Tamandua tetradactyla: one gene and its partners. The protein of the gene in region 1 interacts with the protein of each later gene in a biochemical or structural test. Links are inferred from orthologs where the notes say so. Each region holds a gene or a part of one and is shown on either strand. Other genes may lie near its edges.

The links.
Region 2: the proteins of UBE2I (region 1) and RBBP8 form a complex in vitro, tested with the Homo sapiens proteins (2 studies listed by BioGRID, with this or other methods). The link is inferred for Tamandua tetradactyla from reciprocal best matches to the Homo sapiens genes UBE2I and RBBP8.
Region 3: the proteins of UBE2I (region 1) and MITF form a complex in vitro, tested with the Homo sapiens proteins (2 studies listed by BioGRID). The link is inferred for Tamandua tetradactyla from reciprocal best matches to the Homo sapiens genes UBE2I and MITF.
Region 4: the proteins of UBE2I (region 1) and USP36 form a complex in vitro, tested with the Homo sapiens proteins (2 studies listed by BioGRID). The link is inferred for Tamandua tetradactyla from reciprocal best matches to the Homo sapiens genes UBE2I and USP36.

Annotation. Positions count from the first base shown.
Region 1 is NC_135349.1:56,133,530-56,140,722, reverse strand, and holds the start of UBE2I (SUMO-conjugating enzyme UBC9), read left to right. Parts: upstream 1-4,190; 5' UTR 4,191-4,282; intron 4,283-4,731; exon of another isoform or gene 4,732-4,797; intron 4,798-7,193. UniProt on the Homo sapiens protein: Accepts the ubiquitin-like proteins SUMO1, SUMO2, SUMO3, SUMO4 and SUMO1P1/SUMO5 from the UBLE1A-UBLE1B E1 complex and catalyzes their covalent attachment to other proteins with the help of an E3 ligase such as RANBP2, CBX4 and ZNF451.
Region 2 is NC_135344.1:60,619,768-60,626,880, forward strand, and holds the start of RBBP8 (DNA endonuclease RBBP8), read right to left. Parts: upstream 3,003-7,113; 5' UTR 2,666-3,002; intron 2,512-2,665; exon of another isoform or gene 2,159-2,511; intron 245-2,158; 5' UTR 145-244; coding exon 36-144; intron 1-35. UniProt on the Homo sapiens protein: Endonuclease that cooperates with the MRE11-RAD50-NBN (MRN) complex in DNA-end resection, the first step of double-strand break (DSB) repair through the homologous recombination (HR) pathway.
Region 3 is NC_135341.1:14,361,698-14,369,255, forward strand, and holds the start of MITF (microphthalmia-associated transcription factor), read right to left. Parts: upstream 3,016-7,558; 5' UTR 2,855-3,015; coding exon 2,751-2,854; intron 1-2,750. UniProt on the Homo sapiens protein: Transcription factor that acts as a master regulator of melanocyte survival and differentiation as well as melanosome biogenesis.
Region 4 is NC_135332.1:71,213,485-71,221,027, reverse strand, and holds the start of USP36 (ubiquitin carboxyl-terminal hydrolase 36), read left to right. Parts: upstream 1-4,541; 5' UTR 4,542-4,704; exon of another isoform or gene 4,705-4,779; intron 4,780-6,951; 5' UTR 6,952-7,119; intron 7,120-7,543. UniProt on the Homo sapiens protein: Deubiquitinase essential for the regulation of nucleolar structure and function. Required for cell and organism viability.

The DNA of each region.
Region 1 (7,193 bases):
GTGGGGCTAAGTTTCCTAGGGACGAACCCCAAGTTCAAGGGCTCAGCCTATTGATTTGGTTGTCCCCACTGCTTGCGAGAATATCAGAAAGTCTCCAGATGGGGAAGTTGTATATTTCCCCTTTTCTCCCCATTCCCTCAAGGGGACTCTGCAACTACTCATTTATTCACTGAGTATTTATCAGGGCATCACACCAACCTGGACAAACCAACAAAATCTCATGCCCTATTCAAGATTCCCAGTACTTACGGTGCTAACTAAACTGACCACACAAGTTAAATTAGGAAATACACTACCGAAAGTATAAATTTTGCACCAAAATAAACATCTCTACCTTTAGTCTCATATAGAAGTTGAAGTTTTAAAATATGGACGATAGAACCCCTTACCCCGTCTTCTGATATACCTTAGTCCTATCCAGATGAGCTCCATTCATCTCTCTACTCGATGTCTGATGACTTTTTTAACTTTTTAAACAGTTCCTGTATGTGGTACTGCTGACCTTCACAGCTTCAGAGCTCTCACTGAGTCTCAAGTGTCACATAAATACTCAAAGTTTCTGGACGACCAGTTACATACAAACAGCTCAGTATCTCAGATTTCAGAGTTGCATAGTGGCATTTTTTACAATTGCCCAAAGATAGAAGCAACCAAAGTGTCCCTCAAGAGATGGCTGGATACATAGGGATGACAGTTACATAAAATGGAACATTCTTCATCTGTAGAAAGGAATGAAGTCCTGGGGATGCAACTACATGGATGCAAGTTGAAGACAGCGTGTTGTGGGAAATGAGCCAGACAACAAAAGGACAAATATTGTATGAGCTCACTGACACGGAATAATTAGATTGAGCAAGCCCCTAGAATCAGAAACCAGAATGCAGGCTCCCGGGGGGGGGGGGGGGGGATGGGATGGAGAGCTGTACAGAGTTTCTAGTCCGGACAATAGGGAAGTTTGGCCATGGAAGTTGGTGTTGGCAGTAGCACCCCATGATTACCAGCCCTGGATTCCACATTTGAAGGTGGTTAAAAGGAGGAAACGTTAGGTTGTATGTAAGTTGTTAGAATAATAATGGAAACACAAACGACATAGGACTGTCCGATGTTCACAAGCAGTGAACCTTCATGGAAATTATGGACTATAGTTAATGGGACAATTATAACATTGTTTCATCGGCTGTAACAAAAGCACCACATTAATGCAAGGTGTTAAAAATCGGGAAACTGGTGTGTGTAGGGGGGGAGGATGTTCGGAGACTGTATTTTCCGTGTTATTTTTCTGTAAATCCACAACTTCTCTAGTAATATATACGGAAAACAAATTTTTAAAAAGTCACTTAGAAATTAAAAACAAAAACAAGCAAGCTCCCTGAGACAGGCTCACGCAGGAGGGTTTGCAGAAGGGTTCATTATTTTCCACTCATGACGGATCCACTCCCGTGGACTCCTCAGCTCTGCCAGGAGCAGGGCTAGAGACCGCCCTCCTCCACCCGGGCCTGCGCGCACCGGCCGCTCCGCCTCTGCACCGCCCTGGCCCGCCCGGCGGGGACGCCCCCGGGACCGAGCGGGAGCGCAGGGCCGAGGGCCCGGGGAGGGGCTGAGACGCTCCCCTCGGGCTAGAGGGCTTCCCGGGGAGATAGAGGGGGGCTTGGAAGGGCAACTCCGGAGGACAGGAGCAGGAGCACGGCTGGGTCTGGGGTCTCGGCTCCTTGCGGGCTGGGCTGCCGCGCGGGGGGAACCTCCCAAGTCAGGGTGGGGGCCCAGGGAGGCTGGGGGAGGGGCCGCCCCTCTCGGCCCCTCCCCCAGCGTTAGGTTGGGGGCCCTGCTCCTTCTTTCAACAGATTCTCTCCAGAGCCCTGGGAAGGCGGGATCTGAGGAGATGGCTGCTCCCCAGCTCAGGAGCCCCTCCCCAGCTGCCTTCCTGCGCACCTGCCCCCGCCCCTCTTGCCCACCTGCCTCCTCTGCACACCTGCCCCCCGCCCCTCCTGCACACCTGCACCCCTCCCATCCCCCTGCCTGCGCACCTGCTCCCGGCCCCTCCCCCACCTGCACACCTGCTCCCCACCCCCACCCTGCGCACCTGCTCCCCGCCCCTTGGGCCCCATCTGGGACTCATGCCCAGACCCTAGGCTCAGGAAAGAGGTCCTCTCAGGCCCCGACATGCACCAGGGGGACCAGGTGCCCAGGGCCTCCTCTCGGGCCCCCTCCTGTGCCCCTGCACCCACCCGCAGCGTCCCTTTCCTCTGCCTGTGCCCTCTGATGCCTGGGAGATGAGAATCTTGGGGTCCACGCCCTCCTCCGCCTGCAAGCCCTGGGGCAGGAGGAGTTTTGGGCTGGAGAGCTGCTGGCTCTGGGCAGCCTGCCCCAGGCGCGGTCCTCACTGTTCCACAGCAAGGCTGACGGATGGGGTGCTGCCAGGTCTAAGAACTCAACATACTGGTGCCCAGTGAAGTCAGAATTCCAGATAAACAAAGATAACGTCTTTGTTTAAGTGGGTCTCTGTAACTTCTGGGATGCACTCATACTAAAGAGATATTCACTGTTCATCTGAAATTCCAATCTCACCGGACATCCGGTATTTTCTCTGACGACCCTAACCCCTACGGGGCCCTAATACATACGGGGCAATAGTCCCGGGGCCCTAACACATACGGGCCTACCCGGGAAGCCGGGGAAAGGCGGCAGATAGCCTCGGGGTGAGTCCGACCCTGCCACCGGAGGCGTGTAAGAGGCTGCCCAGGGGCTTCCTGGATCTCCCACCTCCCCGGACCTGCTTCCCATTGGATGGGACGCTGGCACCCACTGCCGTCCTCACAGCCCCTCGGGCCTTCCCAAGTGGACAGAGGCTTGGGGTCCAGAGCTGCTCCCAGAACCCTCAGCCGTCCACGCTGACTGCCCTGTGCCTGACACCTGGGGACGAGGGTGTCTCACAGGGTCCCAGGGACCATCTTGCGTCTCTAAAGACAGACGTCGAGACAGACGTCGGGGCCACCGCTCTTGGACCTCTTCCCGCTGCCAGGTCCTCCCATGATTGAGTGTGCCCTGTCCACGCTGCCACAGGAGCTCCCAGGGCTCAGGGCCCAGGTCTCCTTCACCCCCTGGCATCCTCTCACTAAGCACAGACACGGAGCTGGGGACCCGACTCGCCTTCCCTGCTCCACAACCTTCCATAGCTCCCCATGGCCCTGGGAATCAGGACCCTGCAATTACAACCAGTCTGCCTTGTCAAACAGCACCCCCGTTACCCTCAAGGCCCCCAACCTGGCCCGTGCTACCCACTCCGCGCCCCACGGCTGCGCCCGGCCCACTTAGGCCCTGGTCTCTCCTTCGTCCAGCAGTGGCTCTCTGCTGGGTACCTTCCGCGCGTAGCCCTGTGCTAAGCTCCTGACATCCTCCCATGGAAGACGTGCAGTCCACAACCCCCACGGCAGCTTAGCCCGGCGGCCATGTGCTCCCCCGGGCATGTGTTTACAAGTCCGATTCCCGACCACATGGGGCTGGGGGAGAAGTGCAGACATGCACGAAGCTGGGGGCCCGCGGCTGGGCCTGCCCCTCCCGCCCAGGGGAGGCAGCGTCCCCGGCCAGGCTGTGCTCGGTCAGCGCGGGCCACCGGCGTGAGCTGCCCCGGGGAGCTCTGAGGCTGCGAGGGACGTGGAAGGCCCACCTGCTCACAGGGCCGGCCGCTTGGCACCACCCCAGCCCCTCTGCAGGCCCGGCCGCCACTGAACCCACCCAGGCCCCCCTCCGTCCTCACTGGACTCCCCGGAGTCACAGGTGCCGGGGGCACAGGGACTTCACCCCGGGGCGCCCCGGGCACTGGTGCCTGCGGGCATGAGGTGTGGGTCACCGACTAGGCCCTGCCTCGGGGAAGCCGCGGCCTCGGCACCACGGGCTCGGGGGAGGGGACCGGAAGGAGAGAAAGAAGGAGGGAGGGAGAAGTCCCTCCCCGCGGCCCAGCGAGCCCCTCCGCACGGGCGCCCCGCCCTCCCCCCGGCTCCCCTCCTCCCAGGGCCGGCCCCCGGCTAGGGAGCGTCCGCAGTTCTCCTCCGTCGGTGCCGCCAACTTTCGGCCTTCTGTACGGCGTCAGCCCATTGGGTGGATTCAAGGGACGCCCCGCCCCGGGCCCCGCGGTGGCCAATTGTAAGGACTTTGACAGGGAGCTGAACTTGGGGGAGCGGCACCGGTCTGCGATGCTTCGGGACGGCCTTAGGCCTCGGTGGTTCCTGCTCCCCGGACCCGGGCGCTGACCTCAAGGAGACCTCCGGGACCGGCGCCCGGAGAGGTGTCCACCGGGCATCCGGGGAGCCCTTGGCGGTCTCTGTCCCGCGTTTCCCCCTCAGCTCGTCGGCGCGTCCGCCCGTGGACGCGCACCTCCAGAAAGGGAGTTTGTCGACGCTCCCTGGTTTGCGGGACGCGGCTCCTTTAAGGGGGCAGGTGTCCAGAGTGCGGCCTGACTGGAAGTTCGTACTCCTCCCGGGCTCCCAGGCCCGGCGCGAAGCGCGAGCGCGCGGCGGCGGGACACGGGCAGCAGGCGGCGCGGGGCGGGCAGCGGCGGTGGCGCTGCTGGGCGGCGGCGGCGGCGCACGGGGCAGGCGCGCGGCGGGCAGCCCGGCGCCAGGCCCCGCCCCGCGCGCCCCGCCCGCGCCGGGGTCCTCGGAGGTGCTCGGGCTGCGCGCGGAGCGGGCTCCGGAGGGAAGTCCCGAGACAAAGGGAAGCGCCGCCGCCGCCGCCCGCCGCCCGCGCCCGCTCGGCTCCTCCGCCTCGTCGCGACGCTCACCGGGGCCGCGGCCGCCCGAGGTGAGCGCGGGCCGCGCGCGGGGCGGGGCGGGCGCGCCGGGGCCGCCGCCGGGCCGGCCGGGCCTGGCCTGGGCCGCGGGGGCCGGGCAGGCCTCGGCGGGGGCCGGGCGGGGGCTCGCCGGGGCTCGGCGCCCTCTCACCTCTGTGCAGGGCCGGACGGAGGGTCCGCCGCGCCGAGAAACTTCGTCCCGCCTCCTTCGGGGGAGCGGCTGCGGCGCGGAGTCGCTGTCGGGCAAGCTTCCCCGAGCCCCGGCGTCCCCTCGGCCTTGCGGCTGCGGTCTCACCGCTTTCCCTCTCTGCCCTCGCGGGCTCGGCAGCGGCTCGGGGATGCCCCTGGGTGCTCGGGAGAGCGAAGAGGAGCCCGCAGCTCCGGCGTTGGGAGAGCGGAGCACGGAGCTGCCGGGAAGGCGAAGCGGCAGGACGTCCACCCCAACACGGAGCTTTCGACGGCCGAAGGGGAATTCATTTCTGGGGCCACAGGGCCGGACGACAGACCTGCAGCACTTTGCAGCCGCGGAGCGAAGCCGACAGCAGAGTTGAGAGCCTGGGATTGCTAAAAACGCTGGCTCTTGGGGAGCGGGGTCGGTTTGGTTCTGATGTCTTCATCAAAACAAGTCTCCGTTTTCTTGGTAAAAAGACGTTCTGTGTGAAGCCGATGGATCACGCCGAAGATTAGCTCTGCACTTGACGGAGAGTTCTGTTTTATATTTAAAGTTGCTTTGTGCTGATTGTATGGGGTTGAAAGTAGTAGTTAACCTGAGTGAGAAGGTGAGAGGAGTCGTTGGCGCGGAGCATGGTCCGCGGTCACCGCAGGATCCCTGTATTAACTTGTTTCGTCTTTATCATCCTAAGTTATGTTCAGTTCCTTAGTTTGCAAAGTTACTGTGACTTTTCCCTCCCTTTTGAAGATGATAGCTTTAAATGTTTCTCGTTATACAGAAAACGTTGCCTTTATTTAAAGAACCTACCCAACAGAAAACAGAAATCTGGCTTAAGTCCGTTGTGGTTTGCTTACAGAGAGATTCGTTTGCTCTAGCCCTTTTGAGTGGTGATGGGGTGAATTCTGCCTTCTTGTGTGCCTTTGCTGGCTGGGGTGGAGTCTTGGGACCTTGCTTCAGAAACAGGGGTGATGGGGGGAGCATGGAGGAGGTGCGGGCAGGGTGACAGGGTCTGCTCAGTGCAGGTCGCGTGGGGTTTGCAGAGTTGTGCCCCGCCTTGTTCCAGAGGGTGTCCCAAGCATACAGGCGCCTGTGCTTCCTTCAGTTATCAGTTCATCCTCTCCAGCCTTCCAAGGCCACAGGACTATCACCCTTCCTGCAGATGAGTACATTGAGGTTCGGGGCGATAAATGTCTTGCCCACGCACACACAGCAAGTGAGTCGGCTCTGAAGTCCGTGCCCTCAGCTGGCAGAGTTGATGAAAGGTGCACCCCTCCTGGAGCCCCGGAAGAAGTGGGGGCAGGCTGTACCTCACTGCCCTGCCCAGCGAGCACCTGGCCTTGTCCGGGGGTGGGGAGGGTGTGCTTTGCGGGTTTCCAGCACCTTATAGTTTGTAGGGTTTTATTTTCTTTGGCTTTGCATCATCTAACGTTCCTTCTCTGAAGCACCTGATAGCACTTGACTGCTCAGCCAGTGCCTCTCATTTCTGAAGGTAGATTGAGATGTGGAAGCTTATCATCGAAATGTAACAAGTTGACTGTTTTCTCCTGGAGGAGAGACTGGTAGGAACAGGAGGCTGCCTGGGACAGACACCTGTGGCTCCTTACCCTAATGGCCAAAACATTCTTTCTGGTGTCTGATCTGGTCTGTCAAGGTGGGCAAAGGTGAAACAGATTGTCCTCCCTCACAGGGGGGCTGCAGGGGTCCTATACGACCAGCCCCTGGTGTGAGGGTGCTCCAGGGCACAGGACATTTCAGAAGCAGCCAGCTTAGGACCGTGGCTCTGGTAGGCTCTAACGAGGCCAGGGCCTCGGTTGGAGCTCTGTTCCTTGTCAAATCAGAAGAGGGGCTTGAGGTGGGGTCCCAGCACAAGGTCGGCGGGCAGGTGGCCCTAGAGAGCATCCTGTTGGCTTCTCCCATGTGCCTGCCTTGGGCCCAGTCCCTCCAGAACAAACTGAATGTCCTTTTGCCCCCTTACAGTGTCTGTGGCTCCCTTAAGGACCCACCTGGCCTGGATGATAGCTTAGAGGCGGCTGGTCTTCCCTCACCCAAGTTCTGAGCGTATTAACTGAGCAGATGCCAGTGCTCTCTGCTCTGTGCTGGTGCTGGATGGGGAGCAAGCTGCAGAGGCCTTCCCATGAGCTCCTGTCTTCAGGGCACCTGCATGGGCAGGCAGAGTGGGGAGGCTGGGCATGCAGTGCCCCTGTGCACAGGGTCTGGGAGAAAGGGGCACCCCCA
Region 2 (7,113 bases), on another chromosome or scaffold:
CCAAAATACCATCAGTATTTGAGAAAAGATTTTACCTTGTACTTCTTTATCATGATACTCCTTCAGTTTTGTCCAAAGTTCCTTGAAGTCATTAGATATATCTGCAGAACTAGGACTTCCAGAACTGCTTCCAGATATGTTCATCTTGCTTAATATACTCCACACTTTTATTTGCCTAATATTTTCTGACCCTTTCTTTTACATTATATAGATATGAAGTTGCCTGTGGAGACCATTGATATATCTGAAACAAAAGATTACAACACAAATGAATTTTGCATGATTACTCAAGGACAAAACACAAGCCCAGCTGTCCTCATGTTTTCTTTATTTACCTACAATTCATCACTTTAAAAGGAGGGAGGGAAAAATGAGGGAAGATTAAAGTGAGAAGAAGCCCTGATTTCAGTAATTCGTTTTTTAGTTAAGCTAAATTTTACCTAAATTACGCTAAATTGAAAGGATCCTGATATTGAGAGGTTCTTTTTAGCATAGGCAGGCTCCCAGAAACGAACCGAGCATGGCAGGCAAGAACTCTGCCACTGAGCCACTGCTGCACTGCCCTATTGAGAGGTTCTTGATTAACCATGGTCAGTACTGATTTAACATTAAAAGACTATATTGCTTTTTAATTTTTGGATTGATGTAAGGTGCAGCAATATGTCGAATCCCAAACTGGAAAACATTCTGAAATATTCTTGTATTAACAAGTACCAACATGTATATACATATCTATATACATATAGACATATATGTGTTATAAGAGAGCAAGACTAATGACTGATGTATTAATACAAATGGGCTCTGGATAGCTTTCTCATAAGTCAGTGAGCAAAATACATATACAACAAAGTTGTATAAGTATAGAAGGGAAAGGCAATTAAGGTAAAGCTCTTTCGTGCCTCTGTCAAAGTAATGGTGAATGATTAATTTTTATTTCTTGTGTAACCAATAAAGAAAGTGACAGGGTATTAAGAAGTTCAAGAGGATTAATAAATTATTTTAGGATGTGTTCTTTAAACTGAAGCCACTAAGAAGCTACTACTAAAAAAGGAAAATGAGTAACATAGTAAATAAGCTATGGTCTTCTAACCCAAGAAGGGTTTTGTGTGAAGCCACTTAAATTATAAAGCACCGCAGAAATAAAAGTTAACTTTTATTAAGCATTTAAAAAACTGGGATTAGATTTTTTTAAGACAATGAGTGAAAATAATGTGTACTTGATTTCAGATATTTGGAATTTATTGCTCATTTCTTGTGTATGATAGAATTTTTTTTAAATGTCCTAATCTGTTAAGGAGTATATACTGAGGTACTTACAGGTAAATGACATATTGTTTGGGATTTGTTTTAAAATACTCCAGCTAAAACAAAAAAATGATTTTGGATGGGGAGATGAAAGAAGGGCTGAGCACTGGCAATTATTAAAGCTGGGTGATGATGAATGGATATATGAGAGGGTCCATAATTCTAGTGTTTCTTTCTTGGGTATGTTTATATTTTCCATTACAATTTTTTAAAATGAGATTAAATGCACTGCATTAACACAGCTTTGTTTCCAAAGAGGCTTGTATTCTACTATTTTTAACACTAAAAAAATAATCAGCCTGTATTACCGTCAATAAAAGTTACCATTTATTATTTACTATATGCCACGGACTGTACCATTTTACATTCACCGTTTTACTTAATCCTCCGAACAATTTTATAAAAGTTATTATTATTAATTTCATTTTAGAGAGAATACAGACATTTGCGACCTCCTCATGGTCACAGCTAGGATTACATGGCTATGTCCGGGTTGAAACAAGTGATACCAATAACTGCAAAATAATTCCTCTTTGTGGCAAAAAAGGTGTATGTGTGTGTGAAAATTTTTTCATTAACTAGTTAAAAGAACAGCATAGTATTAGTTTAAAACCGAGTATAAAATACTTCTCCTTTAAGAAACCCCTCTCTATTTAGACAGTAAAAAAAGGGCTATGTGGCTTTTTTTTTTAACCATTAAAACACTTAATACTAAACTTACAAATTCCGGTTCACGAAAACCTCCCCAATCTATGATGCAACGTCCAGTATTGACTGGCATCACTCCTAGTGCCCTGAACCGTTACTCATAGGACGATGCTCCTTAACTTCTCAGAAATGTCCACCTTACCTCCCAAGTGGCAATCCGGGTTCGTACGTCTGTATAATTTGGTAAAATTTAATACACCGCCCCGGGCAGTGTAAGCCACCAAGCTGAAGGTTCTTAGTAAAATATCTGTTTCCTGTCACACCACACGTATTCTCACACAGGTGGGGCAAAGGACGCGCCTCGAATCACACAGGAGACCTAGACAGACTGAGCAGGAGATCTGAGGGGTCATCTGAGCAAAGCAGAGGTCCGGGTTCCTATGCCAGGCCCCTTAGCTATCCGCCTGTCCTCAGGTGCCGCGCGAGTTATGCGGACGGGTCCCCCCAAAACACCCGGCGGGCTTTTGCCAAGTGCGACTGGCGCGGGTAGCGCGCGCGGAGGCGCAGGACGTAGTCAGCGCAGGCGCGGGGCGGGCTCGGCGCTGGGAGGCGTTTCCTCAGCCCGCGCGGGAGACCAAGGGAGCTGGAGAGGAAGGGCCCGTCCTCCCGCTGGCGCCCGTGGGCCGACTTCACCTTGGCCCCAGCCTACCTCCTCGGGCACAGTCGGAGAACCGCAACACGCTCCCGCACCCCGGGAGTAAACCCCGGCGCTTAGCGCGCGCTCCACCCTCGACCGGAAGTAGCAGCTACGACCGGGGAAAGGGGGAGGAAGCGTCCCCTTACCCACGGCTCCCAGTGCTGCCTCGAAATTTTCGAAAGACCAGTAGGGAGGCGGGCGCCTTCGGGGACTGTGAAGAGACGGCCGCTTGCTTTTTCCTCTTTTTGCACCAGACAGGCACTCCCAGCCCGCGGTTTGTTGAGGAGAAAGTCGACGATCGCGGGCTGAGCTCACCGGTGGCCGAACCCGTCCCGCCCGGGGCCGCGCGACGTCGCGCGGGAGTTCTCGCAGCGCCACGCCCCTTCCTCCGGCGGTGGAGTCTGGCTGCGCCCCCAGACCCACGGGACGAGGCAGAGCGTGTGCGGGTGAAGGTGGACTAGGACTGGCTTTCGGGAGCGGCTCAAAGGGCGGGCCACGCCAAAGCGTCTTTGAGATTCCCTGGAGACGACTCAGGCCGTTCTGTCAGGAGAGCCTTAAGTCCCGGGTGTTAGGTGCAAGGTACCTTATGGTGTATCTGACTTAAATTTCGAGGAAAGCCTGTGAGTGACCTGTACCAAACGGAAAGTTAGAATGAACTGATGGGGAACGGACACGGATCAATCCGTAGTTTCTGCGTTGTAGCTTTGCCTATCGTTTGGAAACTGAATGTTATAACCTGACAAAACTCCATATATTAAAACGAGACTTATTTTGCTGAGATTAAGTTGAAAGTTTCTGGCGAACCTGAAAAGAGAAGGAATCAGAAGTGACCAGCATTATTTGTTGGGACAACTTGCTGTTAGGTAATGTTTAAAATAAGGTCAGTTTTTCCTATGGATGCTTCTTTATGATATTCAAGCTGATGGTATGTTTTACTCTTTATCATGCTTTCTAACAGAAGCGGTTTTGGACCATTAGGAATTTTACAAATGAAACTGAAGAAAACAGACGGTGAACTAGAATCACAACATTTTAAAAACTACTCCAGTACTTTTCTGTAATACTTCTAAGCATGGGAAATGGTCAGAGTAGTATTGTAAACTTGTTTTCTAAGTAATGTTTAGAAAATAATAAATAGAAAGTGTAAAATTAATTTTTCTGCTCATCCTAGCTCTTAAGAGATGAGTAACAACTTTCTCCTTGAAATTGGACATTGTAATGGGACATGACGCACCATTCTGGCACTGCCATACTTGGTATTTTTAAAATGTGTTGGTGAACCTTCATTACCTTGTTATGGGAACCATCATTTATTCACTTCTAAATTTTATGACTTAATTCATAACACTTTTAATGAATGAAAAAATTCCCTATGCTATTTTTCAAGGCCACATAGGAGGAATAATGGGCAGTGAAGCTTGTATAAATGTTTATGGTGGAATTGGGGCGTTTTTGTAATAAATGGAAAAAGTCTATAACCAGTTTGTCAGATAACAGCATATGGACAGAAGGCTGTATTTGTGGTCCAAAGGAAAACCATCATAGGGGAATGACCTAACCTGTTCCTCTGTCCTCTGCCAATGGCTCCACTGTCCAGCCCATTTATGAAAGTCAGAATCCAAAGACTCAGCCTTGACACCTTTTACTGCCTTAACCTCCTTATTCTGCCCAGTCCATCACCAAGTCCTGCTAATTGTACTTACCAAATATCTCCCAAATCCATGCACTTCTCTCCATCACCACGATAATTCAAGATACCATGATCTCTTACCTAGTCTTTTGCTGTTCTACCCAACTAACTACCCTACCTAAACTTTTCTTTTCAGTGATGTTCAGAAAAATTTGTCAGCATCTATTCCCAATTCATATATGTATATATAATTTAAAATTGCACAAATGGTGCGGGCCATGGTGGCCCAGAAGGCAGAATTCTCGCCTGCCATGCCAGAGACATGGGTTTGGTTCCCGGTGCCTGCCCATGCAGGGAAAAAAAAAATTTCACGCATGCATTGCTGAAAGATGGTATATAGTCTGAGTCACAGTCTCTGCCAGTCAGAGCTCTTGGATTTGAATCCTGGCTCCAGTACTTCCGGAGTGGCCCTGGGCTAGTTACCTCATTCCTCTGTGTCTCATTTTTCCTACTTATTAGAAGAGGATAATAATAGTACCAACCTCACAAGATTATGAAGATTTACTGAGTTGATGTATGTAAAACCGCTTAGTAGTGCCCATAAACATAGTATAAGCTCAATAAATGGTAGCCATTATTAGTACTTGTGAGCTAATAGACTGAATATTATAACATATTTTTAGAGGATAAGAAAAATAGAATAGAAATTTAATATTAACTCCTTCTCTCACCTAAGATTGTGTCCACTTTGAGATCATTACATCTACTGTGATCTTGGAAAGTAAATCTGATGTCATTATTGCTGCTTAAAACCCTTCAGTGGCTTCCTGTTACTTTGTGAAGAAAGTCACTTTGAACTGCCTCTACTGCATCTCCAGCTTCATTTCCAAATATACTCTGCCTTCAGCCTCATTGGCCTTTTAGAGTCTTGAGAGCTAGTCTTCTACGCAAAAGGCCCTTTGCGTGCTGTTCCCTATACCTGGAATTCTTGACCAAGCCCGTCCTCTTGCCTAGCTAATTACTGTTCATCCTTTTATCTTGTTTCAGTGGTCTCTCCTATTAGGTGCTCTTACAGGTAGGACTTAGCACAGGATTCCCCATTTTTCATTTATCACAGGTTTATTTAAATGGTCATTTATTTAAATTTATTTCTCTTCACTATACTGTTTCTTGAGGTCAAAACCGTGTCTTGTTCATCATTTTATCTCCAGAAACCAACCCAGTGCCTGCCTAAAATCAGTACTTTGTGGATAAATGAATGAATGAGAAATCTCTGGATGGATTTCTGTTTTTTATATATGTGGAAACCTTTGGGTGTTTTCAAAATTCCTAGATTATCTTTTTAAAGTTTTATAATGGTCACTTTAACAGTAGAAATATCCATAGATATTTACTCCTCCCAAATAGCTTTAAGACCCGTATGGTGGAATAAATTATGAAGTACCCAAAGATTTGCTTAGAAAACGTCCTTAAACTGAGGAGTAATTATTTTGAACTCTTTGTAATATTGGTTTTCCTATAGTTTATGACTTTAAACAATGATCCCAATTTTTTCAATCATGGCATACTTAGAAAATGAATATTTGTATTACATATTTTGATAAAAGGTCAGAGGTCTTCCCCAGGCCCAGCACTTCCACCCTTAGGGCTAGGGAGTTTAACGGTCTCAGCACACCTATAACCCATTTGAGGCCCCTGGTTAGGATGCTTGATTTAAAAATTGTTAGAACTGTAGAATTTTGGAACTCATGTAGATTTTAAAGTCATCTAACTTAGGCTGTTAAAAATGAAATTCTTTGTTGATTCTATAACCTGTACTTAACTCCTACAACTGGGTAGCTTAGCATGAAGGGAAAATCACATAAGTTAGACTGGTAACGCTTTTATTACTGGTTTCAAACCTCATGTAGATATCAGTTGATCTTTAAAATAGCATTTGTTCAGATTCTTCTCCTATTTCCTTTGGTGTTTTCCAAACCTTCACTATTTTCTTCAAGCTCCTGAACAGTGTTCTTTTAGCAGACAATCCAACCTTCTGGTTAAACAAGACAACAGGTAGGGCTCAACAGATGTGATCTTCCTAAACTTCCCTTTTCCTTTCTCAACCCTGTGAATTAGGCAATACTATTTTGCAGATAATACAGCCTGAATCCACTTGTTTCTTATCACCATCTTTGCCTCTGGTCCAAGCCACAGTCATCTCAAACCTCTTTAACAGCAGCAACCTCGTATTTTTTCGGTCAACTCTCTGCTTCCACTGTTTTCCCCAAATAGTGTACTCTCTGGCAGCGTTGAAAGTGATCCCTTAAACTTTAGAACATGACGTTCCCCTGCTCAGAACATTCCAAGTTCTTCTTGTCATCTTAGACTAAAATCCAAATTTATTTCTATGGAGTCAGGACAAGTTAATCACTGTATTCTACTGACGTTATCTCCTAAATATAATTTTGAATTGATACTTTCCTTATTCATATTGCCCTAGTTGAGGCCCCAGTGTTTCTTACCTATACTGTAGCATCCCTGCCTCCAATCTTGTTCACTTTAATCCAGTCTCTCTACAGAGCCACTAGAGATTGAAACCAATATTTCTGATCTTGGCACTCCCCTGCTTAAAACGCTTCAGTGATTCTCTGTTGCCTAAAGGTTAAATGCCTAATCCCTGTAAAATGTTGCAGAAACCTTTTTTAGCCTTGTGTACTCTACCTCACACTTCATTCTTTCCCTCTATCAACAGAAAACTACTTTTGTTCCTGTCTCTTCCCCTCTTCTATTTCTTTGTCTTGGCTCATACGGTCCTTTTCTCTTGGAATTACTTCCACCTCCATCCTTT
Region 3 (7,558 bases), on another chromosome or scaffold:
AATAAGGCCAGAGCTGACATGGAGCCTGACCATATATATAGCCTGTCTTATGCCATGTTAAGGACTTTGAGTCTATCTGAGAGAAACAAGGAGTCATTGGAAGAGTTTGAACAGAGAATGATAAGATCCTGCTTATGTTTTAACATAGGGTTTCTTACTCTAGGCACTACTGACATTTGGGGCTGATTAATTCTTTGTTGGGGACGGGGATGGGGTGCTGTGGGGAGGCGCTGCATTGTAGGACATCTAGCAGCATTCTTAGCCACTACCCACTAGAGGCCATTAACTCCCATATCCCCAGTAGTGACAACCAAAACTGTCTCCAGACTTTGTCAAATGTTCCCTGGGAGGCAAATCTGTCCCCGGGGGAAATCAGTTTTAACAGGAACATTGCGGCTGCTGTGTTGAAAATCCACTAAAAGCAGGTAAGGGCAGAAGGCAGTACACCAATTAAGGGACTCCTGCAAGAATCCAGGAGAGGGCTAATGGTGGTGAGGACCACGGGGTAGAAGAGGAGTTGGTGGAGAAGTGGGCAGATTCTAGGCATTTTCAACTCCTGGGGGAATCTGGAGATTCAGTCCGGAGAATACAATAATTGAGATAGACACAATGGCTACAGCAATGTTAATGTTTTAGTTTCAACATTTTTCCTGACCAAGACTTATAAGAAGTGAGGCACCCCAGCAAAGATTTAAGACAAAAAGCAATAACAAGATCCTGAACAACGTATAGCCCTTTCAAAGTGACACAACAGATGTCGATGACAATACGTTAGAAAACTGTGGAAAACAGTATAGGGAAATTTTGCCAACCCCATATATTTATTCGCAGATTTTATTTAACTGGTTTATTTCAAATAGCATGTGTCTGCTCCACACACAAGTTTTGCAACAACTTTTTTAATTTAGCCTTTCTCTCCATACCGGTTCTGTCCCACACCTGTTTCTAGCTTCAACGTGTGAAGCCATTTCTTCCCACATCCCCACAATTTTCTTTACACAAGCTAGCTAGCTACGATGATGTTCACCCTTACACATAAATTTCTGCCGACTCTGAAAAAGAACAGGCCCAAATCCTTCACCATGAGTTTCATGCCACTCATTTGTGTTTTTCCAGATGGCGTTTTCCTCACTCTCTCAAATTAATTTAATGTTATGTATCAGCTATCATCAAAAATGTTCCAAAGAGTCCAGTTAATTCATTTTTTTTTAGAACTCCCCCCACACACGCACGCATACTCCCTCATTGTGGCCATGTAAGCATTTGCTTATAGAAGCAAAAGCGGGGAGCGCTCGCTTGCTAAAACACTGGTCCCTTTAGGCAGATGCAGATAAAGCCCCAATGAGCATAAGCAACAATACCCTTTACACAATATAACCCAAAACCCCCAGCCCCCAACACACACAAAACAGCCATTATGAAGAGAAACCACCAACTAAAGGCTGGTTTTATCCTCCTAACTGCATAGGACATTTCCTTCCAATCTCCCGTAAGCATTTGCAAAGAGGCTGCTTCAGCATCTGCAAAACCAAGTACCAGAATGTGCTCTCCCAATGTGAAGGTTATACCTTCTCGCTCCTGATTTAGTTTCCCTTCCTCATTTACCCTGATTTCCAACTTTCTTCCCGGTCTACCAACCAGGCCCATTCACCCAGGCCCTACCCAGAGTTAAGGGCTGGACAGCAAGGTCTGAGATGAGCGCAGAAGCTCAATTAAAAGCTTCCAGTCTTATCACGCAATTGAGTTGGGGGAGGTGGAAATAAATTCTTCTCTGCTCTCATAGCCTCAACTGACCATACTTCCTCTCAGTAAACAACAGAAATGAGAGGTCCAAGGGGTCCGCAACAGCCACAGGGCATACAAAAAGGAAAATACCCAACCCATTCCAACTGGCAAGTGGTAATGGACATAGTAAAGGAGGGCGGCGCAAAGGAAGTGGGCATCAGAGGTGGTGAGAAGCCAGGCCAACCAGGTATCTTCACTCTCCTTCTGAAGTTTCTGAAGTCCACAGCAAAGTAAATGGGTGCTGGTGCCAGGCAGGAGACACCCCCACTATGTCCCAGGCCTAAGGCTTTTTGTTCTCCAGGGAAGGCCTGGATATGGACGAGACTTCCAGTGAGTTTAACCTAGACACGCCCACCTGCTGCCCCCAGCCTCTTTGGCTCTCTGCGCAGCGGATCAGGTAGGTGAGAGGCGGGGCCCCGGGAAAACTCTCCCAGACTCGCCAGGGGCGGGTTCCTCCGAGAGAGAGGCCAGTCTCCCTAAGAACCGACAAGCTAATTGCTTCCCCCGACCGTGGCGTCTCAATCTATCTCAAAATCTCCCTTTCCCAGCAATCGGCCCACGAGGATCTTCAGAAAAGGGTTTCACTAGAAACTGCACCCCCTCTTCACCCCCTTTCCCCGGAGCAGTGTCCCGACCCCGCGCTCCTCCTCCCCCACCTCCGTGCGGGTCTCTCCCCAGCCCCCAATTGGTTACAGCAGCTGACATCCCCTATCGAGGGTCCCCGTGACCCCCGTCGTCCCCGGCGACCCACGGCGCCCCTCAGAGTGCGCTCGCACCGATCCCCAGATGCGCACGGGCCGGGATGGCGCGGCCCCAGCTGCGAGGGGTAGTTCGCCCTCTGCCTGGGGGCAAGGGCACGGGGTCCTTGTCCGAGAGCCCGGGCAACTAGCTGTCTCTGGCCCAGGATGGGAGGCGCGGGACCCCCCAGCCGCCCGCCGTGCCTCCCTCCAGCTGTCACTACTCACCTGCTCTTCAGAGGCTGACTTTTGAGTTCGTAATAGGTTTTCGGCTCTTCGTGAAACTCCTCCCCGACTTCGAAATCCGGCACGATCCCGGATTCTGACTGCATGGCTCCCGTTTCTCGTCCTTCCACAGTTCGAAAGTAAGAACTGAGCCAGGGGGCTCAAGGAAGGTGGCAGGGCCTGGGTCCCCTGAGCGGTGCGCCCCGGCACAGTGCCAAGCTCAGCCCGCTTACCCGCGCGGCCGCCCGCCAGGGCTCTGTGAGTTTACACTCGCACTCGGGCGGGAGGGGCCGGCAGCCGAGCGCTGTCTGGGATCTGTAGTTCGACCCGGGTGGGGCATTCCGGCCTCGCGGAGGGAGCTGCTCCAGCTGAAACTACAGCTCCCACAAGGCCAGGCGGGTGGATAGGCAACGTGGTGGACACCGCTAGTGCAACTCCTGTTTGGATTCATTGTCAATGTCAGCAGCTCCTCTCCCTTTTCCCATTTGCTTCAAGGGTACATAATTGACTATTTTATATTAATAAGAACGGTTTCATCCCTGCTCTTCCACAGCTCAGACATGTGCGAGGAGACGTCAAAAAGTTTTGGCACTAGGAAGTTTTAGCGTTCAAGCTTGCCTTTAATAAAAGAACTTCCTATCAGCCCGCAGACTTCCATGGGCTGCTGCGACATGTCAACTTGTCCTCGGATTGGAACAGAGTGAGGAACTTTCACCTAGTAATTAAAGCATTATTGTAGAAATTGTTCTCATGCGTTCTTTTTTTTTTAGCTTGGTCTGGGCTTTTAGAATATTATTCATCTAGCTGTTTTCCTCTTTATCCAGTTATCCACTTATAATCTTAAAGCAGCACTTTTAAAGTCCGGTTGATTTAAGAAAGCACTAAGTTGCAAAACAGCGTTGGCGCTGTCTGTTTTTAATTTCTCCGTTGTCTGGGAACTCAAATGAGATCGTAATAACATTTCAAGAATAAAGTTGTGGGCTATATAAACCGTCCAAGTGTCAACCTCCTCCTGAACTTCTCTACACTCAGGTAACATTAAAAAAAAAATTTCAATCGATTACGGTTCATTTGTACTTTCAGCGCTTCCCTCTGAGTAGTTCTAGTAGGAGATGTTCCTTATTTTTAAAAGTGTTTTAATGCATTAGACAGGCAGTATAGAGTTAGAGGATGGCATCTAAAGTTAAAAAACCAGAATCAAATCCCAAGTCCTGCTCAGAAACACTGTGTGATCTTGGGCATGTCACTTGATTTTAGAAGCTTCAATTTCTTCTTCTATAAACGAGGAGATTTGCAAGAGAAAGTGATTTTGTAATCTATAAAAATAATACTCAGTGATCTTTCTTTCGTTCATTATATCTTGAAGACATTTATCTCAGTCTGGCATTTCACCTGTGTATTTCTCCTTTCAGAGGTAATGAGCTTATGATCATCATAGAACAAAACTGTAAAAAGTCTAGACTAATGATTGGTCATCTCCCAGGAGTTGCCCATTTGCCTGTTGTTGTTTTTTTTTTAATGCAATTTTATTGAGATATATTCACATACCATATAATGAGCCAAACTATACCGTCAGTGGTTCACAATATTATCATATAGTTGTGTACTCATCATCACACTTGATTTTTGAACAGTTTCATTACTCTATGAACAATAAAAATAGGAATAAAAATAAAAATGAAAAAGAACACCCAAAACATCCCATCTCCCCTATTATTTATTTATATTTTGTCTTTATTTTCTTACTCTCCTGTCCATACACTGGATAAAGAGAGTGTCAGTCACACAGTCACACCGTTAAAGTTATATAGTTATGCAGTCATCTTCAAGAATCAAGGCTACAGATTATAGTTCAGGCATTTCCCTCTAGCTACTCCAATACACCAAAAACTGAAAAGGGATATCTATAAGCGCATAAGAATAATCTTCAGAATGACCTCTTGCCTCTGTTTGAAATCACTCAGCCACCAAAACTTTATTTTGTTTCATTTCTCTTTCCCTTTTTGGCCTAGCAGTCTTTCTCAGTCCCATGATGCCAGGGCCAGGCTCATTCCTGGGAGTCAGGTCCCACATTGCCAGGGAGATTTATACCACTGGGAGTCATGTCCCACATAGGGATGAGAGCAGTAAATTTACCTGCAGAGTTAACAGAGAGTACCTGCTTTTTTTGTGTAATGAACATTTTAGCTTCAAATCAGAAAAGATCTCTAGGGATCTTAAGGAAATTTGGAAATAGTACAGAAGGTATACTGTATTGCAGTAGCGATTTCCAAATTCCCACAATAAAATTTGGTGCCCAAAGTACTACTTTTAGGTCCTTCACTATAACCATTAAAACATGACAGAATACTTCAAAGCACTCCTGAGGAAAATAGGCTTTTCATGCCCATGAATATGGGATCTCTGATTCTTTGAGAGACTCCTGGAAGTCAGATGTTGAAAGTGAAGAAGTGTTATCCCCTGCCAGAAGGAAGAAGAAGGAAAAACATGAAGGGTCCATTCAGTCTATCTGGACTCCTAGACTCACCTGGGGTCTCAACTCTAGACAGACATGTGGAATATGGGAGGAAGGGTTGATTGTCAAAATAACTTGGGGGTATCACAGGCATTCTAGTGGGATATGGGCCAGAAATGCTAAACATTTTGCGCACAATGACGAACTTTCTTGTTCAAATGTTAGTGGTACCCCCATTGAGAAATATTGTGGATTTCTTAATCTTTTGGCTCACTAGAAGCTTTTGAATCTGAGGAAAGCTATGCATCCTCTCTGGAGAAAACACAAATGTAAACAAAATTCTATACTTGATTTTGGTCTGTTGAATACTTGAAAGCTATCGAGAGCTTTGCATTAGAAGTGCAGCTTATAACCTCTTTAGAAGCATAATGAAACATTCCATTACGTCATTCATTATGTTGAACAGTGGCCTACCAGACCTAAGGAACAAGAGGTGATGGAGAAAAACCTGTCAAAAATGCTGAGACTTCCTGAATTTACCTCCAACTAGGGGCACCCTCCATAGAGATGCCTGGGGTGCAGGCTCTGAGGTTGTCTTGAGGCACACACAGATACCTGCTATTTCCCTCCATTTTTTTCCTCTGTTCAAGAAAACTTCTCCATTACATGTAGCAGGGGTTTCGATTGCAGTGCCATCTACCACCTAAGAGGAGTGGGCATGAGACTCCCACTGGCCAGTCAGAACTCCCCATTTCCTTAACCACATGATTCTTTTAGAGATGGACAGGTACCCAAACATTACCAGATGTCTTCCTTGGGACTTTTCTGCTAGGCAATTGGGGAAGCCTGTCTCTGGCTTTTGGAAGTATGGTGCTGGAAGGAAGAAAGCCTGGAACTATTTACTATGACCACATAAGGTAGCTAACCTAAAATGGGAAAGAATTAGATGAGATCCACAATCAAAGAGCAGCAGAAACAAGCTAAACTGAGTGTGCTGGTTTGAAAGGATGTATGCCCCCTAGAAAAGCCATATTTTAATCAAAATCCCATTCATAAAGGCAGAATAATCTCTATTCAATATTGTATGTTTGAAACTGTAATCAGATCATCTCCCTGGAAGATGTGATTTAGTCAAGAGTGGTCGTTAAACTGGATTAGGTGATGACATGTCTCCACCCATTTGGGTGGGTCTTGATTGGTTTATTGGAGTCCTATAAAAGAGGAAACATTTTGGAGCATGGGAGATTCAAAGAGAGCAGAGAATGCTACAGCACCACGAAGCAGAGAGTCCACCAGCCAGTGACCTTTGGAAATGAAGAAGGAAAACACCTCCCAGGGAGCTTCATGAAGCCAGAAGCCAGAAGAGAAAGCTAGCAGATGACGCCGGTTCGCCATGTGCCCTTCCAGCTGAGAGAGAAGCCCTGACTGTGTCGCCATGTGCCTTCTCACTTGAGAGAGAAACCCTAAACTTCATCGGCCTTCTTGAACCAAGGTATTTTTCCCTGGATGGATGTCTTTGGTTGGACATTTCTATAGACTTGCACTTGGAGCATTTTCTTGGCCTTAGAACTGTAAACTAGCAATTTATTAAATTCCCCTTTTTAAAAGCCATTCTATTTCTGGTATATTGCATTCCAGCAGCTAGCAAACTAGAACACTGAGAAATAAAGAGAAATTACTATAACATTGCTTCTACGCCTTGTTCCAACCATACCTGAAGTCAGATATCGCTCAACTTTTCAGATATATAGACCAAAACAAAATCCCTTTTGGCCGAAAATGTTTTTGTTGGAAATTTTGCCACTTGCAACCAAAAGAGCTTTGAGTACTTCGTATAAAAAACCTTTCACTCCTTGAAAGGAACATTTTTCTATGGACTGCCACACCGTCAATCCATGTAACAAAAAGCTGGTCACCTGATCGATAGCACCTGTAATCCCTCTTCATTAATGCATTGAACCCTAGGAGCAGGGCCACATCTGAAAACTGGTGAAGAAAAAAGTCCATAGCTCTATTCATTTCAACTGAGAACTGTGCCTATTAAAAGCACAAAAGGAACAGCTAGAAATTATAAGTATTTTCATTGGTAATATTATCTATATTTATGTTACACTTTTCTTTCTACAGAATGCTTTTCGCATTCATCTCTTATTTGAGCTCACAAAAATCCTGCGAGAATAGACACCAAAGGTCACTGTTTCATTATGCAATGAACATGTGCCCCATGTTCTGGACATGGCATTGTGTTAGGTACTCAAACTACTTCCTGCCCTTAAGAGGCTTACAGTCTATGAACTGAATGAAGACTGATAACACAGTGAAAAACTACACTTAAGGCAGGAAATGCTAAGCAGCA
Region 4 (7,543 bases), on another chromosome or scaffold:
GTGACCTACTCTAGCCTGTGTCAGCAGCACCTCTATCAGTCCAGCCTGACCAGAGTCAGGGGCTTTGGAGAAGGAGGTATTTAGGTATCTCTAGGTGTTTCAACTGAAATGTGCCCTGGGCCAAACCTATGACTCTACTCACTTGTCCAGTTAGGCCACAGAGTTGCTTTTGCAATTCAGAGGTGGTGTGTCTGCTGGGGGTAGGGTGGGGTGGTGGGGGCTTGCAATTCCAACAGCATCCAAAGAATGCAACCATCCTCTGGGCCAGAGGCCATGCCCAGGAACACTCTTTTTTCTGGCACTGAGAACCCACAGTCGGTGTTTCTGGAATATTTGTGGAACAAGTGAATATGAGCAGGCTTTCTAGCATTTTGATCCCTGGGCAGGGGTGCAGAGGCCTTAGTTTCTGCCTGTGGCTGGTATTCCTTGGCCTGTGGCCACATCCCTCCAATATCTGCCTCCATCTTCACATAGCCTTCTCCCTGTGTCTCTCTGAGTCTCTTCACTTCAACTTCTAAGGACACTCTAATTCAGTATGACCTTTAACTTGATGACATCTACTGAGACCCTAATCCCATATAAGGTCACAATTGCTGATATGGAGGCTTAAGACCTGGACTTATCCTTTTAGGGAGCTCAGTCAAACCCACTGTAGGGAGCCTCCTGCCATGGTCCCCTTCTACCTCCTCCTTTCCCAGGTAGCCTCAGGCACGGCAAGGAGAAGATGATTGGGCCAACTATGTACACCACCCAGGGCAGAGATGGGGAAAACAGGGGTCCAAAAGCAAGGTGGCATGAGACTTAAAAGAATTGAAAATGCAGACTCTCATCCTGGAGGCCAAACACAGAAAGATGAAATGCTTCCAGAGGAACAACCCTGCAGAGTAACACTGTATCCACAGGGGTAAACCGAGGGGCCTGTGCCCAAAGAAACCCACCAAACCCCGCAGTACCAGCCATGCCAAATGCATAAAGCAAGAGGCCATGGAGGGTGAGTTTTGAGGAGTGAGCGTGCATTTGTCAAGAAGGGGGACAGGCATCACAATTATCCAGCAGGACATTCAATTTACAACTGAAATGTGACACAGGTTTCTCCAAAGATGAGCACAGCTCTTGAGGAGGTCTATGGACACACCAGGCAGGAAAAGTAAAAGTGAAAGCTGAAGTCCACTTTACCTTGACATCCAAGGCAGGAAGTCCCCGGGTCGCTTCTGGAAAACGAGGCTATTATTCTGTGAATGAGCTTTTTCTTGGAGTTAGCACAACAATGCATTCAATTTTGGTTATGATTTGCTTTGTTTTGTTTTTTTTATCAAGAATATTTTAATCTTTCATCTTTGGTATTTCTCTAGTTTTCTCTTTCAAGATTTAGAGAGCATCCACTTGTCTCTTCTTGAGCATTTGCTTTTCCATTTGGTTTGGTCCCTCAAATTTTTATCTTTGCTGCAACATGCCCAACCCAGAGATACGCAGATGAGTAAGACTTGAGAATGAATTAAGAGTCATAGTGAGGGGTGGGCCACAGTCACTCAGAAAGCAGAGTTCTCGCCTGCCATGCCAGAGACCCAGGTTCAGATTCCTGGTGCCTGCTCATGTGAAAAAAAGGAGTCATAGTGAGGCAGGGAGGAAAAGGCCACCTAAGCTTCCAACATGTAAGTGGAATGTGCAAGTCTACCGGCGGCGGCACCTAGTCTAACCTAATGGCAGGGACGCTGAGAATCTCGGAGGGCTTCTAGGAGGAGGTAGTGCCCAAGCCAAGAATTGAAGGAATGGAATCCTAGGTCACAGAACCAGCTTGAGCTTGGAGCAGACAACCTACACAGGAAGTGGGGGAGGAGCTCTCTTTTTCGGCTCTGCTGAAAGGCCCAGGGCAGGGAGTAGCTGAACATATGGCACAAGGGGGCCATTAGACCCCAAACTAAGGAGGCTGGCTCTCTGCAGCAGCGTCCGGGTCCAGGTAAGTGTTTCAGACAGGAGAGCACTGCACTCAGGTGTCTAACAAAGTGTACTCTTCTGTTTGACCGTTTGAGCAATGGATCGGAGCATTCCCATAGTGCAGGCAAGCGTGGTGAGCGGCCTTACTTGAGCAATTGGATGGAGAGGACGAGGTCATCGGGAAATATGTGAGAGATAAAATTGGCAAAATTTGTTGATTGATGACTTCCGTGGGGTGAGGGAGAGAGCAGTCTGGAAGTCTAGCCTGGCTGGTGGATGTCGGGGTTTCTGTCTGTTTCAGTCTGGGCCCCAGTTAGGAACATGGAAACCACCCCACATACAGTTTGTGAGATAGGAAGTGGATGCAGGGATTGGCTATACCCTATTGGTACAAACTCTCTGAGAAGCCGACCAGGGAGAAGAGAAGCAGCAGGACGCTGTCCCTATCTCCAGGCAGGGGGACTGCAGGGAAGAGATTGTGTCACCAGAGCCCAGGGAGGGGACATGCCTGGAGGTTGCAGCCACTGTCGGAGACACCATTCAAAACAGAAAGAGGGAGAGAAGGGTCCTTCTTCTCCTTTCCTCTGTCCTCCTGTCTTGCCAGTGCCCCCCAGTGGCCGAACCCAGCTGGAGCCAGCACTCAGTGAAGTCTGGGAAATGCAGGGATCTGGAGTCACCTTCCTGTGACACAGAAAAGATTTAAGAAAGGCAAGGACTGGGTCTGAGCACCAGCACCCCGCCCCAAGCACAGGCAGGCAGCAGAGCTCTCTTTGGGGAGGGATGGAGATGCATCTGTTTCTCGGTATGGCAAGTCTGAGGGATTTGGGGGACATTTCAGGGGCAGATGTCCAGCAGGCAACTGGGTCAATGATTACAAAGACCAGGGGAGAGGAGTGGGCTGGACAGGTAGATTTGGAACTTATCGGACTATGGGTAGCAAGTAGTTATAGCAATGTGTGCTCATTGGGCAGGGGGTTGTTTCATATAAAAGAAACATCCAAACTATTTTCCAAAATGGTTGCATCTTTTTACACTCCCAACAGCAAAGTATGAGGGTTCTAGATGCTCTATATTCTCTCTGACATCGAATCTTTATAACTGCTGCTATTCCAATGGGTGTGAAATGTTCTTCCTTGTGGAAGAACATTAAAAATAAATTTTAAAAAAAATTATTTATTTATTTTTGCATGGGCAGGCACTGGGAATCAAACCCGGGTCTCTGGCATGGCAGGCGAGAACTCTGCCACTGCACCACCATTGCCCACCCGGTCTGTTTTAATTAGTCTTTCTCTGGCGATGTTTGAGGTTGAGCACCTGAGACTTTTTAATTGGTCTTAAGTGACTGTAACACCAGGAATTCTACTCTGAAAACTTCTGGGACGGAATGTAAAGGGGGAGATGGGTAGTAGTGTGGGTGGTCAAAAGCTTTTCCCAATCTCTGGGTCTCACACCTGAGCTGAATGCAGGCCTTTCAACCAATTCCTTTGACACCACCTAAGAACTGAAGGGCACCTCTGAGGCCCTGTAGGAGGCTGGCAGGTCTGAGTTTCAACCCTTACTTCACCACTTGTTTGCTGGCATTACACAAAGTTTCTAATCAGACTACATTTTCTCAACTATAAAATGGGAACAATGATACCTTTTTGTAGGGTTATGAGGATTAAATCAGATAATGTGGGCAAAGTGGAGAGCTCGGTATCTAGCACACTTAATCTGAGCTCGGCAAAGGTAGTAAACGTTGTCAGTTTTATTACCAGAAGTAAAGAGATGTCCGCCTGAGTAATTTAAAACAGGCAACCAGCTAATTAGGGAGGAGGTGGGATAAAACCCAGTTTTCCTGATTCCCCTGCCATTGAGGGTGTTCCTTGCCCCCAATCTTTAGTCATCTTGCACACTGTATCAAGTTCAGAATAGTGAGACCAGCCTTTGAGTCCTTGTTTCAGTCGAAGACTGAAAAAACTGCAAAAGCGGTATGTTTTTGTAAAAACTCAGCCAAGACCTTAATATACAGTTGTCAAGGGGTGATGCTTTAGGAAGGTGGGGTGGGCCTAGGGAATGGGGAATAGTCTCGGGACGCTTCAAAGGGCGAATGCCACCACTTCTTGATCCCTTCATCCGAAAAACCCCTTTTGCCTTGGCATTCCCTGGCTGTGACCGAGCACGATGTCCCCATCACGCACGACTTCGAACTGCAGGTAAGTCCCCCAGAGGTTGCAGACCCAGGTCCCTCCGCCTCTGCACCCGCTTCTCCCCAGAACTAGCCCACGCAGCTGAAGAAGTGAGTGAGGTCAGAACGGCCAGGTGCAAGATAGCAGCACGTCATCAATAGGTCACGAAGTCCCTCCAGGCCCGGGGAGTTGGGTCACAGGACCTTAGCCCGAACCACTCCCCCTGGAGGGGCGTGGGGCGCGCACTTCACACAAAGCATCGAAGGGAGGAGGGAGTGACCCCGGGGCACTCAGCACCCGGCGCGTGCGCCCCGCCCCGCCCCGGAAGTGGAGGCGGCATCACGTGCTCTGCGGGAACTCGCTGCGTGACGATTTTGGCGCAGCGTGGTTGCGTCATTGCGTAGGCTGACGGGGCCCGGGAGGGGACGGTGACGTCTCCCGCGCGGAGCGCGGCCGCGGGCGGGCCCAGGAAACTGGGTCCGGAGATAGCTCCGCCTCTTAAAGTTGCTGGAGCGTCTGGCGTCGGCGCAGCGCGCTGCGCAGGGCAAGGCCTCTTTAAGCGTCTCTGTGACACGTGTGTGAGGCGCCGGAGGCCCGGATGGTGCGTGTGCGGGGCCGCGGGTTGCAGGAGACGCCACCGCCGCGCGGGCCCGTATCAGGCCGACCGGGGGCCGCGGTAGGCTGGGCCGGTCAGGGCCGTTCGCAGGGGTGTCGCCGCGGGGCCGCACCGCGGCCGTGGGAAAGGGGTGGAGATGTTGCCGGGCCCGGGGCGCTGCAAAGGGTGGCGGGGCGCACCCACGGGCGTTCTGAGGGGCCGCGCGCACGCGTCGCGAGGGGTCCGGGGTGTCCCTGCGGAGGCTTGGGGAGCGGGCCCGGGGCAGCGCCGCCCGCGAGGGGTCCGGAGTGTCCCCGTGGAGTTTCGAGGAGCGGACGCTGGGATGCGTCCCCTGTGAGAGGTCCAGGGTGTTCTCGTGGAGGGGCCGGGTGGAGTGCGTTTGTCACTGCGTGAGATCTGCCTTCTCCTGTCCCCGGTGGACCCCAACCAGGACCCAGGGCCAGGAGAGGCGGCAGTGGCCAGCGTCAGTGTCGGGCACAGTCTTAACCCACGAAAGCATCATTTACACCGGATCCCGACCTTTTTTGGAATGGTCAAAGTCAGTCGGAGAGAGCTTTTTGCTTGTTTTCTGTAACTGGGAGAGGTGGGGAGGGCTCCCCCCTGGAGAAGGTAACCTTCCCACGGTCACGGTGGAGGAGGCGGTCCTGAGCGCCGGTACCGGCTGTGGGCTGTTTAAATACGCGTTGCTTCTTGTCGGGCAATATTCGGTTTCCTCGGCCTTCTGCCTGATGGGGTAGCACCCTAAAACCGAGGTGATAGGTGAGAATATCCCGGTGCTCACAGTCCAGTGTCTCTAATGGGTGGCAAGAATCCAGCCTTGAAGGGAAAAGCTGCTCAATTTGCTCTTTTCCCAGCGGAGCCTTGGCGCTCTGCAGAAGAGCCCTGGAGGCCCCTCTCTAACAGCGGTCCCTGGGGAGGCCTCTGCATGCTGCTTCTTTTACTCCTCCCCCAGCAGCACTTGGCTGATGGTGTCACTCTGGAGTGCAGTTCATCCTGGAAAAGTGAATTTAAAGGGGAAAAGGAGAGAGAATGTGCTTGAGTGGTGTTTTGAGGAAGCTATGTTTGAGTAGTCTTGGAGGTAGATAGATAGATAAATAGATATACACATCTCAGAGTAGGAAATGAGTATTGGGTTATTTACGATATTTCAAGTGGAATTGCTGAAGTAAAGGTTGAGCTCTGTCAAGACATTTAGCTCTGCATTCAGGAGCTACTTATGGAGTGGGTGTCTGCTATTTAAGCCCCTTGTCTCAGATTAATTTGAGTTAAAGGCATTTAACTCTCAGAGTCTGTTATCTTCTAGCTACAGGTCCCAGACTTGAGCTGATGGACCCGGTATGACCAAGATCTTGGCTTTCAGTAGACAAAGTAATGATCTTGTACCCTATTAAAAGCTAAATATCTATCAGGCTCATCCTTCATTCCAAGAGCATACTCAGTCTACCATTTTATGTTAGTATGCTTTTATTCATGGGTGAAATCATGTATCTGGATTTGCTTTAAAATAATCTGGGGGTGGGAACGTGAATCAAGATTGAAATTTCATATGTAGAAATTATTGAAGCTGAATAACTGGAGCACAGGGCTCACTATACTGTTCTCTCTACATTTGGGTATATTTGATCGTTCTCACGGTGAAAAGGTATTTCTTAAGTACCTGAATTTTGTCTAATCACAGTGATCGCAGGTAATAGTTTTGTTGTTGTTGTTTTGCTTGCATGGGCAGGCACTGGGAATCGAACCCGAGTCTCTGGCATGGCAGGCGAGAACTCTGCTTCTGAGCCACCGTGGCCTGCCTGCAGATGATAGTTTAAGGAAAAAAAAATCCATACTTAGTTAAGTAAAACTGTGCAAGTCTTAATACCCCCTCCCACCCCACCCCCCTTTTTTTGTTGAAATCTTACTGGTTCATGAAATCCAAAAGTGTAGGATGATGATCTGTTACCTCTTATTCTTTGGAAGTGAGATTTAGACTGGCCAGCGAGTAGAAATTTTGCTCGCTGGAATTGTCATTGTCCCAGTTAAGATGCAGAGCACAGGTATTGGGTTCACTCTGAAGGTTTGTATCTGGTCAGCACTATTCTCCTCCGTATTCTGCTGGATTCTGGAGCTCTTGGTATTTCGGTATTTCGTAACGATTCGTTCCTGGTAGATTCGTAACGTCCACGTTCTTGCGTGGCGTCCGTGGGGAGAAGTCGGCCTCACCCGAAGATCTTGCCATTCATTCCGCAGATTTTCATACCCGTTCCGCAAAAACATTCAGCAGCTTGGCCTTTAACAGGCTGAAGAGCACCTGAATGCGTTCACCTAGCCTAGCACCTGCCCAGTCTGACACGGTCTCTTCCTTGATAACCTGATTTGATGCTGCAGAGGCAGCTGGCCCACATTCACCTGTCCCAGGTAAGCCTGCAAAAGCTTCTGTGTAGTTGTATGTTTTCAACGACCACCTGAATGAGACCCTGCAGTGGTTCTTGAATTGGTGAGCACTCAAAGAAGGATCCCCTGCCAAAAGGATTTTTTATTTCCTTAAATCACAGAACTCATGGATGCTTTTTTATTCTTTAGTTAAGCTTTTTACATTTCTTCATAGAGATTTTTGTAGAAAGAGAAATTGGATCCATGAGCAGAATTAGCTGAATCAAAATGTTTGAATGGTCTCATGAGCTGTTGGAGGAAGTCCTTGCTTTTACCAGAACAGTTTTGGGGTAGCTGACAGACTAGCTGGTTCTTTCCTGGCACGCCGGATACTGGGCACCAGGGGGCGTCATTGCTTCTCTGACCACAGTTTTCTAAGTGTGGCTAAAATGGTCCTTGAGCTTTGGCT